Alligator mississippiensis: one gene and its partner. The protein of the gene in region 2 purifies or fractionates together with the protein of the main gene of each other region. This does not show direct contact. Links are inferred from orthologs where the notes say so. Each region holds a gene or a part of one and is shown on either strand. Other genes may lie near its edges.

Evidence for each region. Proteins that work in one complex are often made in the same cells at the same time.
Region 1: the proteins of CDK2 (region 2) and PCNA purify together in Homo sapiens (affinity purification with mass spectrometry; 8 studies listed by BioGRID and IntAct, counting the BioPlex papers as one, with this or other methods). This does not show direct contact. The link is inferred for Alligator mississippiensis from reciprocal best matches to the Homo sapiens genes CDK2 and PCNA.

What each region holds. Positions count from the first base shown.
Region 1 is NC_081830.1:25,946,579-25,953,995, forward strand, and holds the start of PCNA (proliferating cell nuclear antigen), read right to left. Parts: upstream 3,038-7,417; 5' UTR 2,562-3,037; coding exon 2,341-2,561; intron 2,029-2,340; coding exon 1,931-2,028; intron 436-1,930; coding exon 368-435; intron 1-367. Other genes in the region: CDS2 (phosphatidate cytidylyltransferase 2), read left to right, coding at 3,268-3,351. UniProt on the Homo sapiens protein: Auxiliary protein of DNA polymerase delta and epsilon, is involved in the control of eukaryotic DNA replication by increasing the polymerase's processibility during elongation of the leading strand.
Region 2 is NC_081838.1:6,926,884-6,934,084, reverse strand, and holds the start of CDK2 (cyclin-dependent kinase 2), read right to left. Parts: upstream 3,007-7,201; 5' UTR 2,854-3,006; coding exon 2,738-2,853; intron 2,379-2,737; coding exon 2,301-2,378; intron 2,216-2,300; coding exon 2,095-2,215; intron 2,016-2,094; coding exon 1,845-2,015; intron 1,462-1,844; coding exon 1,360-1,461; intron 683-1,359; coding exon 479-682; intron 209-478; coding exon 104-208; 3' UTR 1-103. Other genes in the region: melanocyte protein PMEL, read left to right, coding at 4,751-4,814, 6,244-6,369, 6,612-6,758, 6,876-7,016. UniProt on the Homo sapiens protein: Serine/threonine-protein kinase involved in the control of the cell cycle; essential for meiosis, but dispensable for mitosis. Phosphorylates CABLES1, CTNNB1, CDK2AP2, ERCC6, NBN, USP37, p53/TP53, NPM1, CDK7, RB1, BRCA2, MYC, NPAT, EZH2.

The sequences.
Region 1 (7,417 bases), on a different chromosome or scaffold from region 2:
TTGAACCACCTCAAAACTATGAATAATCACTTGTGAGCTTTACCTTCAGTGGGCATAGCCAACAGGGGTCAATTAGTGCACCTCTCTTTGTAAAAGGAAGTGCTTAAAAAGGTAGGTTACAAAACGCACTGTCCTCCTGATCATGCATTTGAGAACTGAAGAGCCAAGTCAACCACTATCCACAGTGATCACCACTTCAAAAACTCTAGGCTATTCCTAATGCTTCCCATGGGCCATCTTAAAACTATCCCACTGAGGTGAGGAACTGGGAACACAGAAAATTTTAGAAGCCTTCAACATTAACATTTTACTCTCACTTATGAGTATTAGCAATTAAATTTAGCTCAGACAAAACAAAATGGCTTACTGGGATGCCAAGCTGTTCCACATCCAAATCCATTAGTTTCATCTCATAATCGGAGACCTTTTCTTGATCTAGGAGAAAAACATCAAAATACATCTGTGTGTTTGGTGAAGCAAAGTTAAACCTGTGTTTTGCAGTTAGATCCTCTTAAACTTTTACACAGAAAAGAAAAAAAGTGATATTCATAGATTGTAAGGCTGGAAGGGACCTTGGAAGATCATCAGGTCCAGCCCCATGCACCAAGCAGGAAAGATAACCGAGGGTCAGGTGACCCCAGCAAGGTGACTGTCTAGTCTCCTCTTGGAGATTTCCAGGGTAGGCAATTGCACCATCTCTGGAAGGAGCTTATTCCAGGCTGGACACCTCAACTGAAGTTTTTCCTAATGTTGAGCCTGAATCAATCTTCCAGGAGTTTGTGCCCATGACTCCTAGTTTTCCCCTTGGGTGCCCTATCAAACAGCTATGAGCATGCCACCCCACCCCAAGTCACAGGACACAAGACATTTCTTGGTGCAACTACACAAGTATCCATAAAAGCTTCTGGTCATTTAGATGATCGTCATCTACTGTACTCAGCTAAAAAAAATAAATAAATAAATAAATAAATAAATAAATAAATAAATAAAAAAAGTATACACATCACACAAAGCTTTTGAACTAGGTACTAGCATAAACCAGATGAGTGGTTCTCACACCACCCCATCATGGCGAAGGGCCTTGACTTTGGATGCCACTTTATTTTGTACAATTTCAAAGGCTCATCTGTATACTACAGTGCTCAGCTGCTTTCAGGAGAACCAATCAGTGAAGATGGAGAGGAACCAGCCAGACAGAGACAAGCCTGAGCCTCCAATTATCTAATTATATCTGCATACCTCCAAAATATCTGGCAGCACTTCAACACACTGCGGGACCCTGGTTGTGACTCAATGATTCAAGTGTTCACTTCCAGCCTCATCTGCCTATTAACTTAATAAGAGGCACTCATTTTAGTCTTCAAGTAGTGCTGCAAGTTCAAAAACTGACACTTTTTTTTTTTTTGAGGGGGTGTTTATTTTTATGCGCATGTGAGCTTTTAAGTGTTTCCTACCTTTGCTGAGGCAAGGATTTCATAGGGTGATCTCTTTGATTAGATAAACAGCACAGGATAAGAGCTAGACAAACTTTTGGAAGCAAGACATTTATCAGGCCTCCTGCATCCCAGCTGTACAGTTGGCCCAAGAGATGACCTTACAAAATCCCTGCCTATCACCTCATTCTCAGACCCCTGCAGCTCCAACATGGCTTGAGGCACCATACCTGTGAGGACTCATCTGACTTCTTTGCTGCTCATGTGACCAGACTCTGGAACTGATTCCCAGCGGAGGTGGTGCAGACACAACCTAGAGATCTTCACAAAAGTTTAGGGCTGGAAGGGACCTTGTGAGAACACAGGGGTAAAGGAGACTAGATGCACACCCTGCAGGGGTTGTTTGAACCCAGTAGTGTTTCTTGTCCAGGGGCTGGACCCAATGATCTCATGAGGTCTCTTCCAGTCCTAAACTTCTGTGAAGTACAGGTACTTACTTGGGGCCTCGAACACCAGGGCCAGGGTGTCTGCATTGTCTTCTGCTCGCAGCGTGATGATGTCTTCGTTGCCAGCACACTTCAGAATTTTGGACATGCTGCAGCAAGGGCTAGACTAGTTAGACCAGCCCAGGCAAGGCATCCTGACCCACCACATCCACTCTTCCTCCCCCCAAGCCCTGCAAGCCGTTTCCAGGCCAGAGGAGCAATGCACTGCAGGGGCCACATCCACCCTTCCCCTTCCCACCAGGCAGAGCTGCCGAAACTCCTCCCCCCGCAGGGGTTCTTTCCCGCCACTGCGCGCGGGAAAACCCTGAGCGCGGGGCGCCGGCGTGACGTCACCGCGCACGCGCGCGGCACAAACGGGACAAGCGTTGCGCTCCAAGCCCCCACAACCGCCCCCGTGGCACCTGGTCAGGTTGACGCCCATAGCGATGTTACGGTCGCAGCGGTAGGTGTCGAAGCCCTCGGAGCGCAGCGTGAGCTGCACCAGTGAGACGTGCGAGGAGTCCATGCTCTGCAAGCTGATGCCGCCCGAGCCCAGGTCCCAGCAGGCCTCAGTGATGAGGTCTTTAAGCGCCTCTAGCACGCGCTTCAACACCGAACCCTGCACCAGCCGCGCCTCGAACATGGTGACGAGAAAAAGCTACTAGACTGCTGCTTCTCGGGGCGCGCCAACGGCTCTCTTTATAGCGCCTCTGACCTCACGTCCGGGTCCCGCCTCCCCGGCTTCTCCACCAATCGCAGCAACCTGAAGCCCCGCCTCCTTGCCGCCAATCTACCGATCCGTGCCCACCAGCGGGATCGTGCGCGAAAAATGAAAGCTCCTCCTTCCGGCCAATCAGAGCCTGGGAGTCACCGGTAGTTCCGCCTACTTGGGATTCTGGACAGAATCCCGCCCACGTGCTCTGCAACCGCCAATCCCCACGCAGGTAACAAGCAGCGCGTTTCCTCCCACCAATCGAGGCCGGCCTTACAACCCGCGTTGTTTCACAAGGCTGCGAGGGTCGGCTGCTCGGCCCTGCCTCTGGGATGCTCCCAAAGCAAGAGTGCCGTGCCCAGGGGCTGCTACAGGGAGCTTCACGGCGTCTGGGGGATGGCTCATGTACAACCGCCATCGGCGTACGCCTATCATGGCAGCCACCACAGGCCGGGGAGGAGGAGGAGGAAGAGAAGAGTTCCTACATCCGGGTCAGGAGGGGCAGGGCGGGGCGAGGCGAGTGGCCTCGCCTCCTTCCCGGCTCGCGCTGCTCCCATTGGCTGCGGCGGCGCCAGGCGGATGGAACGCTGGGGCCTGGGCGCACGCGCTGCTGCTGAGGTTCGCAGCGGGGCTCAGCATGAGCGAGCTGCGGCAGCGCCTGGGCCGGGAGCCCGACGACAAGGTACCGGGGCGGGGCCTGGCGCCTCCCGCCTGCCCGCAGGTGTAGTGAGGGCTGCTCGGCCCGACCTTGCGGAGCGCGGGGGTTGCAGCGGGGCGGGGCAGCGGTGCAGTGCAGTGCAGTGCAGTGCAGTGCAGTGCAGTGCAGTGCAGTTCATCTGGGTTTGTATGTCGGTACAGCTCGGGTGGCTGGGGCGTGGGAGGCACAGCCTCAGTGCATCCCTGCCTGAGCTGGGCCATGTAAGCGTTTGCTCCCCGGGCGTAGCTCCCAGAGCCCAGAGGGATCCACTGCCAGGGCACCACTAGTAATGTGCCAAATGGGTTGTCAGCTGCACCCTAGGGGCCAGCTGGCTAGGGAGAGCTTGCATGTTGACTTCTGTATGCATAAATGCTGGTAGCATCACACCCTTAATTTCCAAGACCAAGATGAAGATGTTTTAGGGAACCAGGCTGTAGCCAAATTCATCTCTCCTCAACTCATTAATTCCTGTGAAGTAAAACACTAACTGTTTAGCAAGGCATTTCCACTCTCTTTGGCTGCAAGACGCCACGTCTAAGAGCGGGTACTGAGTTGCCATGGGATTGGCCCAGCCTGGTGCTTCTGGAGTCTCATGGGACTTGAGGCCTAAACCATTGTTAAGATGGGGTGAGAGAGCTGTTCTTTCACTGTACGCTATTACTGTACGTGCTTCTGCCAAAGCCCAATCCAGATGCTTGGAGAAATAGAGCTAAAAGGTTGGCTGTCCTTCACTAAGTCATTTGCACTCTCACCCTCTTAAAGGGTGCCCCTTGGAAGATGTGAGCAACTAAAAGCATGGACTTTCAAGGTAAAAGTCCTATTTTGAAAAAGTCTTTGGGGTTCTTTGCCATTCACAACCCTATGGGCCTCAGGAATCAAGCTGAGGGGGAAATTGTAATTACTCTTGGCTGTTTCATGCTCTTACCTTGGCCTTGTCAGCTACCATTTGGCTTGCATTTATGTTAGAACAAAGTTCTGGTTCTAATTCCAAGACAGCAGTGGAGTGCTTCAACCACGTAACCTTGAAAAGGTGAAAAGCTTTCTGTGTCAAGTAAACATCAAGTGATCACTTGAAATTCTTTTGTTTTTTTTCTCAGCCGAAATCTTTGCATTTAAAATTACTTAAGACATCCTTTTTTAGCAGCTAGCGCAAACTGTAAAATAAAGCATCATCCTTGGGTCTAATTACTTTCTTGGTTGCTATACAATTATAGAGCTGGAAGAAATGACTCTAGAAAATGGGATTGCTGGAAGCTTAACTTTTGATGAAGATGTAAAATGCCTGACTGCCTGGTAACTTGTAAAGCTTTACGGTGTTTAAATTTACCGACTTGGTTTAGCTTTGCTTTTCTATATTAAACAAGAGTGGATGGAAACTATCACCCTCTTGATAATTGACTGTTTGCACTGCATTTTTGCACTGTAGCAAGGTGACTTAACTCTTCCTGTGCCTGAAGAAGGATGTTTGTACCTGAAAGCTTGCAAAGAACAATTTTTCCAACTATAGTCTAATAAAAGATATTGCATTTACCTAAAGAACCTTGTCTGCCTATGTCCTTAGACCAGTACAGCTACAACCAATAGCCCTGTTGTATCCTGGTACTTTTGTGGGAGTTGGAATGCTTCCTTGGGAGCATTGGTATTGCTCAACTGGTATGCATACTCTCAGCAAGCAGAGTTGTCTTAGCTATGTGGGACACAGAAGGCCAAAGGGCTGTTTCTTAAAGTCTGATCTCATCAGACCCAAACCCCTGATCTCATCCGATGCATTTTTACATACAACAGGATTCCTTTAGTTAGCATTTAAGTAATGCATCCAAAATGCTCTCCATACAAGTTGGGGTTAACTGAATATCCTAAAATAATTTGAACAAACACAATGCACAGGGCCAAGAATTACATCAGCCCCACTGCCCTCAAACAAAATGTTGAAGCAAACCCCTCTCCTTCATATTCCATCGCTGACCTGCTGCCACTGACTGAATTTTGTATTCAACAGAACATGGTATAGAATAGGCAGCAAAGAACATCCTGAAGGCTGAAGTTGGAGTGGAATGTAACTGTCTGAACTGCTGAGTTGGCCAGTATCTCTCCTAATAATAATGTATTCCTTAAAACCGCACAGGGTCGGGGTCTAGGATTAGGAACTCTTGGAGGCTAGCATTGTGTTGTCTTCTGGTGTCTGCAAAGTGTCTGTAGCATACTGTGGGCATACCATCAATATACAAGACAGCAATTCAGTGAAACCTGTGCTGATACCTTAAGCCACTAGCAGGAGGTCTTCTTGAATTTTATCAGGGATGTCCCCTGTTCAGACATCCTTGTGAGTCTTCCTTTACTTACTTTGTCTCCCAGCCATAGCATAGCCAATAATATTAATTCTAGTACAGTATGCCTGTTATATTTCACAGCAGGGGAGGCTGCTTTCAAAAGGACACTGAATTTGTAAAGAGAAACCAAAAAGAATGCACTTGGTTTCATTTTTTTAAAATAAATTGTTCTGTTAGTTTTAAAACTAAAACTGGAAAATTCTTAATCTGGCTTTTCTGCCTTAGTTTTCATTTAGCTCATCTTTGACAATGGAAACAGGAAGGTGTGTTTCATTTTGTGGTGCTTCTTTTGCTAAGGTAGTGCACTAGCTGTGCTGTTGCCCTTTACAGTGCTCATGGGATTGTGTAAATGCGAAACCACATGAATGTTACTGAAATGAAAACCTCCCCTTAAGGTAGCTTGCAAAAGAAGTTCTGACTGTAAAAGGTCAGCATTATTTTACTCTTCCCTTCAGATCACAATTTAACATTTGATTAGGGAAGCTTGAATTGTGACTGCTACCCTTGGAATAAATAGGATTTGAGTGATCCTAGCTGTCTTTTTCTAGCAAATAATTCACTTGAAATTAGCTAAATAGATAGCATTACATGAGCAACCAGGTATTTAGTTTCCTGCTGTTATAGAATAGTTCAAGATTCTCATTTCCTATTTTATAGAGTTATTGTTTTACTCTGTAAAATTCAATGTCTTCTCTATTTGAGAAACCTTAAAAAAAAAAATAAAATTGAAGTCATGCTCCTGAGTTGCAAACATCGTGTTTTCACCTCCAGTTTTGAAAACGAATAAGGGCATAAAGAGAGACTATTAAGGATGCACTTACTGTGGGGTTTCAAACAGTGTTGTTTCTAAAACTGAAATTGTACTGTTTACACTGAGCTCAGCTTTGGCACAGGAAGGGTTTGGTTTAGTTTTGGATCCTCCACTGCTACCAGCTCTTTGTTGGGCATGGGGCCCGGAGTTTTTTCAAGGGCCGGTAGTTCACTCGGCTAGTAGCCGTAGGAAGGGGGGAAAGAGGGATCCGTGGCATCAAGAGGCAGAATCTTCTGGGCTTTGTGTCTCAGTGTTGCATCATCAACTTGCAGCTTGTCACAAATATTCTACACTTTTGGTGGAAAGTGACCCACCTAATCATGAGGGGAACTGCTGAAGCAAATGAAAACGGGATATTTAGCATGTGTGCTGCATGGAAGTTGGGTATACCAGTTATGCAGATAGAGCTTTCCACTGAGATGTGCAGCCCTTTTACTTACCAGCCACTAACTTACTGACCCTGATTGCTAAAAGGAATAAGCTTAAATATAAAACAAAGGATAGAGAGACCTGGGAGTCAGGATCCCAGGGGTTTTCTTGTTAAATTAAGAATGGGCACGGCTTCTAGCGTGTTATGAATGGACTTAGTGGTAAGGATGCTTGCATTCTAGTTCCAGCTGTGCTGTAGATATAGTTAGACAAAAGGCCACAGAGCAAGTCTGATTGCCAAACTTAAGTTCCTTGTGCCTGGTTTCTATCTGGATATAGGCTATGACACTCACCTACTTTAGAGATTTTGTGGTGTTTATCTACTGCACACAAAGGGCTTTGAGAGCTTCAAGTTATATCAAGTCTGGTACTATAGTGTAAAAGCCAAGAGATGTGATTTATTTTGTTATGTATAGCAGAACCCAGAGCTCCCTCCATGTCTGACTTGCACCCATTCTCCAGCTGTACAGAGAAGGAGAGCGGAGGAGCTGAGACTTGCTGTGTGGTTAAGGAAGGAAAA
Region 2 (7,201 bases):
CCCGGCCCCTCTGGGCCCCACAGTCAGTTCAGAGCTGGGCAGCAAGGGGCAGGGAGAAAGGCTCCGGTGAGGCTGGGCATTGGCTCCCTGCCCCGGGGCGGCCTCACAGGCGCAGGTGTGGCACGGCTTTGGTGACATCCCGGAAGAAGGGGTGGCCCAGCGCTGACTTGGCCGAGATGCGCTTGTTGGGGTCGTAGTGCAGCATTTGCTGGGGAAGAGAGGGGGGAGGCGGGTTAGGCCAGGCAACCGAGGGAGCCCAGCTGGGTTGCACTCTCCTTCTCCACCACCCCAAAATGCTAAGAGCCAGAGCTGGCACGTGAGCTCCCCCAGCCCCGGTTTCTCCTGCTGTTCCTCCTGCCTGTTTGCTCCCAGCACAGAGGGGACTAGAAAGTTAGTTTCCTTCTGGGCAAGCCAGGCACCAGCTCTGACCCTGCTCTCCCAGAGCCTCGAACCTTGGGCCCAGTAGCGGACTACTCACAGCCAAGAGCTTCCTGCCCTCCTCGTCCAGCGGGGGCACCACCTTGCTGAAGTCCTGCCGGGCCCACTTGGGGAAGCTGGGCTTGTAGTCAGGCATGGAGGTGACTCCAGGCCACACAGCCTCATCCGGGGTGCCCAGCGTGCGGAAGATGCGGAACAGTTGGTCGATCTCGGAGTCACCAGGGAACAGGGCTCGGCGGGTGATCTGGGAGGGGCAGAAGAAAACCATGGGGGGCACCTGGGGGCCAGGTAGGAGGTCTAGGTGCTTGACGAGCCACTTAGACTCAATGCCTTCCCTGGAGGAAATCTGCTGAGCACCGGACACTGGGCTCTGCGCAGGGGTTAGGGTGGCAGGCTCGCGGGGGGCTGAACTGGGACTGGCCGGGTGGGGGGGGCCTGGCTGCCGAGGATAACACCAGGTCCCAGAAAGGCTGTGCCCAGATGGAGCCGAATCCCATGGGAAGCATCTCCCCCCCTCGCAATGTGACATGGACCCCATTCCATGTGACCCTCTCTGCCAGCACCCGGTCCCAGGACACCCCCTGCCCTGGGGAGGAGGAAATACCAGGCTGGCACGCTGCGGCCTGCACCCCACCCCAGTCCACAAGGTCCCTTTCTTCCCTGGGCCCTGCTGGGCGTCAGCAGCCCTTTGCGTGGCCGGTTGTGACGTCTCTGCTGGCCCAGCACAGCCCCGGGGCCTAGCTCTGCAGCTCCAGCTGGGGGGGAGGGAAGGGGGGCATGGGGGCCGCGCCAGGGACTTGGCTCCGAGCCAGCTTGCACTGGGAGCTGCCCTGCCCTGCTCATATTAAGGCTCATCTTCCCTCCCGCCATTCTTGCCTGCCACGGAGTGGGACCCCCGCACCCCCCACAACGGCCACGCACCATCTCAGCAAAGATGCAGCCCAAGCTCCAGATGTCCACAGCCGTCGAGTAGTACTTGCAGCCCAACAGGATTTCAGGGGCCCGGTACCAGAGAGTCACCACCTGGGAGGGTCGGGGAGGGGCAGGACAGGGGCACTGTCATGCCCAGCAGAGGGGCTAATGCCCCAAACAAGTGAGAAGTCACCCTCCCCACCTCCATAGGAGCAGCACATGTCACCTGTCCCCAGTGGACAGAAGGGAAACTGAGGCACATGTGGGACAGTGTGCTTTGAGCAGATAGTGGGTTTCTGGGGTAGCTGCAAAGAGAATCCAGGAGTCCAGCCATGTGACCTAGCATGTCACCCCCTCCAGCTAGAGCCTCAACTAGTGGGGCTGAGCACAGGGGAGGCCACTGTGTTTGGCCCAGGCCGGAGCTCCCTGCCAAGGCCCATGTGGGAGAGCCCCTGCATACCCCAGAGTGCTGCTGGGTGGGCAGGTCCCCTCACCTCATGGGTGTAGGTGCGGACAGGCACGCCGAATGCCCGCGCCAGCCCAAAGTCGGCCAACTTGATGGCGCCATCAGCATTGATGAGCAGGTTCTGGGGCTTGAGGTCGCGGTGCAGCACGCGGTGGGAGTGGCAGAAGGCCAGGCCCTGCAGCAGCTGGAACAGGTAGCTCTGCGGGGAAGGAGACGAGGCTGGTTACGGGCACGGGGACCAGGCACAGGGCTGCAAGTGGCCCGGGCAGGTGCAGTACCTTGATGAGGGGCAGTGCCATGCCGCTGAGGGAGGCCGAGTCCATGAACTTCTTCAGGTCCTGGTGGAGGAACTCGAAGACCAGGTAGAGCTTGTTCTCCGTGTGGATCACGTCCAGCAGCCTGGGCGGGGGGGAGAGGGGTGAGACGCCTGCACAGAGCTTGCTCCCAGGGGCTGCAGTGCCCCCCCCACCCCGTCCCCACTTACTTGACGATGTTGGGGTGGTTCAGCTCCTTGAGCAGCGAGATCTCCCGGATGGCCGTGCTGGGGACGCCCTCCGTCTCCCTGCGAGGGGGGAGGGGAGGAGCAGGACCCCGGGGCACGTGAGTCTCCTCGGCCCCCCGACCCGGCTGAGCCCCTCACATGCCAACGTGTGGGAACGAAGCCACCAGGCGAGCAGAGGGGCGATGATGGACGGGGGCTTCTTGCGCCCCGCGCCCGCAGACTGCACCAGCCCCAGCTCTGGGGAGCCCGGGGGGTGGGCCGCCCCCCCCAGCCACCAGGCCCACCCACGGGCCTCAAGGGGGCAGCCCCGCACCAGAGACGCCCCTGGGCTCGCAGGCAGGCAGGGCCCCGCGGGGCCTGCCCCGCACCTCGGCCCGGGCCGGATCCTGCCCCCCGGGACCAGCCGCCCCCGCGCTCACGTGTCCAGGCGGATCTTCTTGAGCGCCACCACCTCGCCCGTGACCTTGTTCTTGGCCTTGTACACGACGCCGTACGTGCCCTCGCCGATCTTCTCCACCTTCTGGAAGTTCTCCATGGGGCGGCCCGGGCCCGGGGCCGGGGGAGCGGCCGCGCGGGGAGCCAGAGCCGGGCTCGGGGCCGCTGCGGTTGGCGGCGCGCGGCCGGATGGAACCTTCGCCCCGGGACCCGCAACAATGTTGCCACTTTCCGCCTCCCCGCGCGGCCGCTTCCCGCGTTCCGCCGGCCCCGCCCTCGCCGCCGCGCCATTGGCTGGCGCTCCTCTCGCCCCGCCCACCCCGCCGCGCAGTTGGCTGGCGCGGCCGGTGATGCTAGGAGCGACGCGGGAGAGTCCTTAAAGGGCCAGGCGCTCCCGGATGAGCCCGGCTCCCGGTGTTTGCTTCCCGGATCTCCCGGGACGGTCAGCCTCCCGCCGTCTTCTGGGGTGTATTGTGGGCAGGGGTCTCCCCGACACCCCTATAGAGCCTGGAGCTCAGACCACCAGTGCCCCGGGCTAGGCCAGGCCAACAGACCCATTGCAAGTTGGAAAGACTGAGGCCACCGTCACAGGACGAGCCCCAGGCCTCCTCTGCTCCAGCCATTAGGCCCTGCTGCCTTGGCAGAGGGAGACCCCGGGGGTCCGGCCCACAAAGCCGAGGCCCCTGCTCCATCTGGCCCCTCTTGGGATTGCGTGTGCGGACAAGCTGGATGTGCAGCATGGGGGGCAAGGGAGCACGCAAAGCGCCTGGGCCGGGACCTGGCCGAGGCTTTGCTCCAGTTGGGGTCGGGCATCGTGGAGCAGCCCCCTGCCTGGCCCCTGCCCTTCCAGGGACCCACCTCATCAAGCATCCGGGGTTAGGAGTGAGGCCCCTGACCCCATCCCAACACGGGGCCAAGGGTGTCAGGCACCCACTGGGGCCAAGAGCTCAGGTGGGCCCAGAACGGGGCTGGGGCCTTTACGCCAGAGCTGGAATTGGGATGTGCTGTCGGTGTGCATGTGTGTGCGGGTGTCTGCACGTGTGTGCGCGGGTGTCTGCACGTGTGTCTGCATGTGGGCATGTGTGTGTGTGGGTGCGTGTGTGTATGTGTGCGTGCAAACATGCAGGGGCCTGGCAGAGGTGGCAAAGCAGCTGCCAACCGGCTGCCACTTCCTGCCAACACCTGGGCTGGTGTCGTCCCTGCAATGAGGTGTCTGTGCCTGGTGCCAGCTCTGCACCCAGAATCCCCCCCCCCCCAAGCAGCAGTGTTACTCCCCCACCTCCCCCCAGTCAGGTCCAGTCCAGTCCAGTCCAGGCCCTCTAACCCAGGTCCCCGGGGATGTAACCAGTCCCATCCCTTTCACTCCAGGCCCAGATCAGTCTTAGGCTCCCTGGGCCGAGCTTCGAGGCAGGTCCTCTGGTCGGGGAACCCCCACCTCAGCCCAGGTGCAGCCCATGACCCCATGCCAGAGCAGGCACAGCCCAGCCACGCAGCGGGGGGCACCTGGGCCCAGGACCCAGGACGGAGGTGTGTGCTGAAGATACAGTCATGGGTCTGAGCTGGCCACGGCTCCGACTCCAATGGCTCCTGGAGCAGCCATCATCCGGGTCCCCGTGTCTCCAACTGAGGAGCTGAGCAGGGACAGGGCAGCGGGCACCTCTGTCCTTCATGGCCTGGATCAGGGAGGCGGCCGCTGGGGGCAAAGGCTCAAGTGTCAGCTGGTGCCCGGGTGCCCCTGAGGCTGTCACTCCTGCTCACGAGGAGAGGAAGCGCCATGCCCCCCCCCAAATTCCTGCTTCTGCGTAGGAGGGAAAACCCCCATCGTCGTAGCAACCCAAACTTGTGACTCGACCTCACCCCCCCATTTGGGGGCATCTGGAAGGTGATGCCCATGGAGGGGCGGGGCTATGCAAATCAGGGCCCCTTCTTAGCTGGGGAGACCGGGAGGCTTCGCCTCTGCAACGAGGGTCTCCCGTGGGTGCGAGGGTCTGGCCGGGATGTGGACGAGCGGGTGCTTCCTGGCAGTCTGGGCCCTCCTGGGGGCGGCCACAGCTCAGCGTGGTGAGTGGGATCCAAGCCCAGGGGCTCCCTGGGGAGCTGGGGGTGGGGGGTTCTGTCTCGCCCGTTGTGGGGTCTGGCCCCTCCGCACCTCGCTCTGGGCACCAGGGCTGGGATGGGGGAAAGCTCCACTCCTGTGCTCTGCCCAGGCTCTGCATGTGCATGTGTGTGCTGGGGGGGGTCTCTGCAGGGTCTGCAATGGGGCAGGGAGCTGGTGTCAGGGCTGCACAGGCTGGAGGGACAGACAGACCTGGGGGTGCCCAGGATGGTGCCGCCTCCCAGTGCTCCCCACAAGGGATAGACCCAGCCTCAGCCCCCTTGGGACTGGGACAGACGGATTAACGGGGTGCCCCCCAAAGCCGAGCCACGTGGGCGCCAGATTCCAGACTCTGCTAATCCCTGCAGGGGCCCGGCGCCGGGACCGAGTGGGTGACGCAGGGGGAGGGCGGGCAGGCGTGCATGCATGCCTGTGCGTGTCCCTGCTAAGAGCTCGGGGTGGCCCTGCTCCCAGGGGCTGATGCCCACGGGGGGAGGAGGGAGGGGAGCTGGCCACCCTGGCAGTGCTGCAGCCCCTGCCCCAGGCCAAGCTGCCCTTGGGGGACCTCTCTCCTCCAGGTTCCCCCTGGACCCCCCAGGCACCCCCCCGACTGCCCCTCAGTTCTCACCTGTGTCGGGGGGGGGGCGCAGCTGGGCCCCGTGCCCAGCAGGGGTAGAGCCAGGGACTTGCCCCCTTTCCTAGAACCCCCAGTGCCTTGGCTGCCGGACCCCGACGTAGACAGGGAAACTGAGGCACAACAGGACTATGTGGGGGCAGTCACCTGGGGGTCAGTGGTGAGGGAGGCTGAAGGGAGAACCCAGGTATCCCTGCTTCCAGCCCCCTCCGGATACTGGGCCAGGGCCCATTCCCCACGCGCCGCACTGCACACAGGCCTCCAGAGGGGGGCGGCCTTCTCCCACGCCCCCCCCATCCCCTAATCGTGGTCTGGGGTAGGAGTCGGCACCGGCTCAGCTGAGAGTCACATGAAAGGGCTTGGGCAGGATCTGGAGCCATGTGATGGGGCTTTGCCTGGCGCCCCCCTCCTCCCCCATCACATGCTCCCCAACGTGCGGGGCTGGGCCCGGGGCCATGGGAGGGACATGATGGGGCGGCGGGCGGATGTGGTGCTAATGCTAATGCCTCGGCAGCAACCCCAGCTCCAGCCTCCAGGGGTGGGGGCCTGGGCCCACATGGCAGCCAGGCCCATGGCTGGGGACAGCAGCCCCAGCCCTGCTTGCCCCGTGGGTTTCTACCCACTTGACTCCCATGAATGAAGACCCCAGGCATCCTGGCTCCGTGCTCCTGCCTCTGGGGGTCAGAGCTGCCTCTGGTGATGGCGGGGGCTTCTGCCCCTGCCCCTGCCTGCTGCCCCCCACCCACTCTGCGTCTCTACAGGGCCTGGCGGTAGGAACCGAGGCAGCGACCGGGGCAGCCGCCAGCCCCTGGGCTACAGGTCCTGGAACAGCCAGCTCTACCCCTGGGGGCCAAGGGGGGACGCCCGGCAGCGGGACTGCTGGAGAGGTGAGTCCTGGGATGGGACCTGCCAAGCCCGACCTGGGCTGAGCCCCAGGGGCAAGGATGGAGGGGTGGGGGAACCAGGGCAGGGGCAGCTGCAGGTTGGTAATGGGGTGCCCTGGGGGAGCCGGGGCTGTGGGTCATGGGCTGGGGGTGGAGGTTGCAGCAGCATGGAGCTGGCCTGGGGCGGGGGTAATGGGAGGGGGCAACCTCCCACGTGCCCCCCGGGCCTGACCCTCTGCCCGCAGGCGGTGACGTGACCTTTGAGGTCACCAACGATGCCCCCACCATGACGGGCGCCAAGGCCACATTTGCCATCGCCCTGCGCTTCCCCAGCAACCAGACGGTGCTACCCGATGGCCGTGTCGTGTGGAGCCGCAACTGCACTGTCAATGGTGAGGGAGAGCCCCTGCCTGGCACCCGTCCCGGACTGGCTGCTGCATGGTGCCCGGTTCCAGAGAATGGGTAGGTCCCCCCCGCTGTGCGGCACTAACCCCCCCTCGCTCTGGCAGGGACCTGGGTGCGCCAGGGTGATGCCGTATTCCCGGAGATGCTGCCTGAGGGCACGGCTGGCACCTTCCCCGACGGGCAGCCCTTTCCCCGCAGCGCCTGGGGTGGCCGCAGCAAGTTCGTCTATGTCTGGTGGACCTGGGGTGAGTCCCCTGGGCACTCCTGGCCTCACAGGGCCGCCAGCTGCCCCCTTGGCCCAAGCCTCACCAGGCTCAGGCCCAGCTGTGGTCCCACCTGCACTCTGGAGGAGGACAGGACTGGGGAGGCTAAAGTGCAGGGAAAGTACCTCTGGAAGAGCTGGGAGAGAACTCAGGTGTCCGGGCTGCCC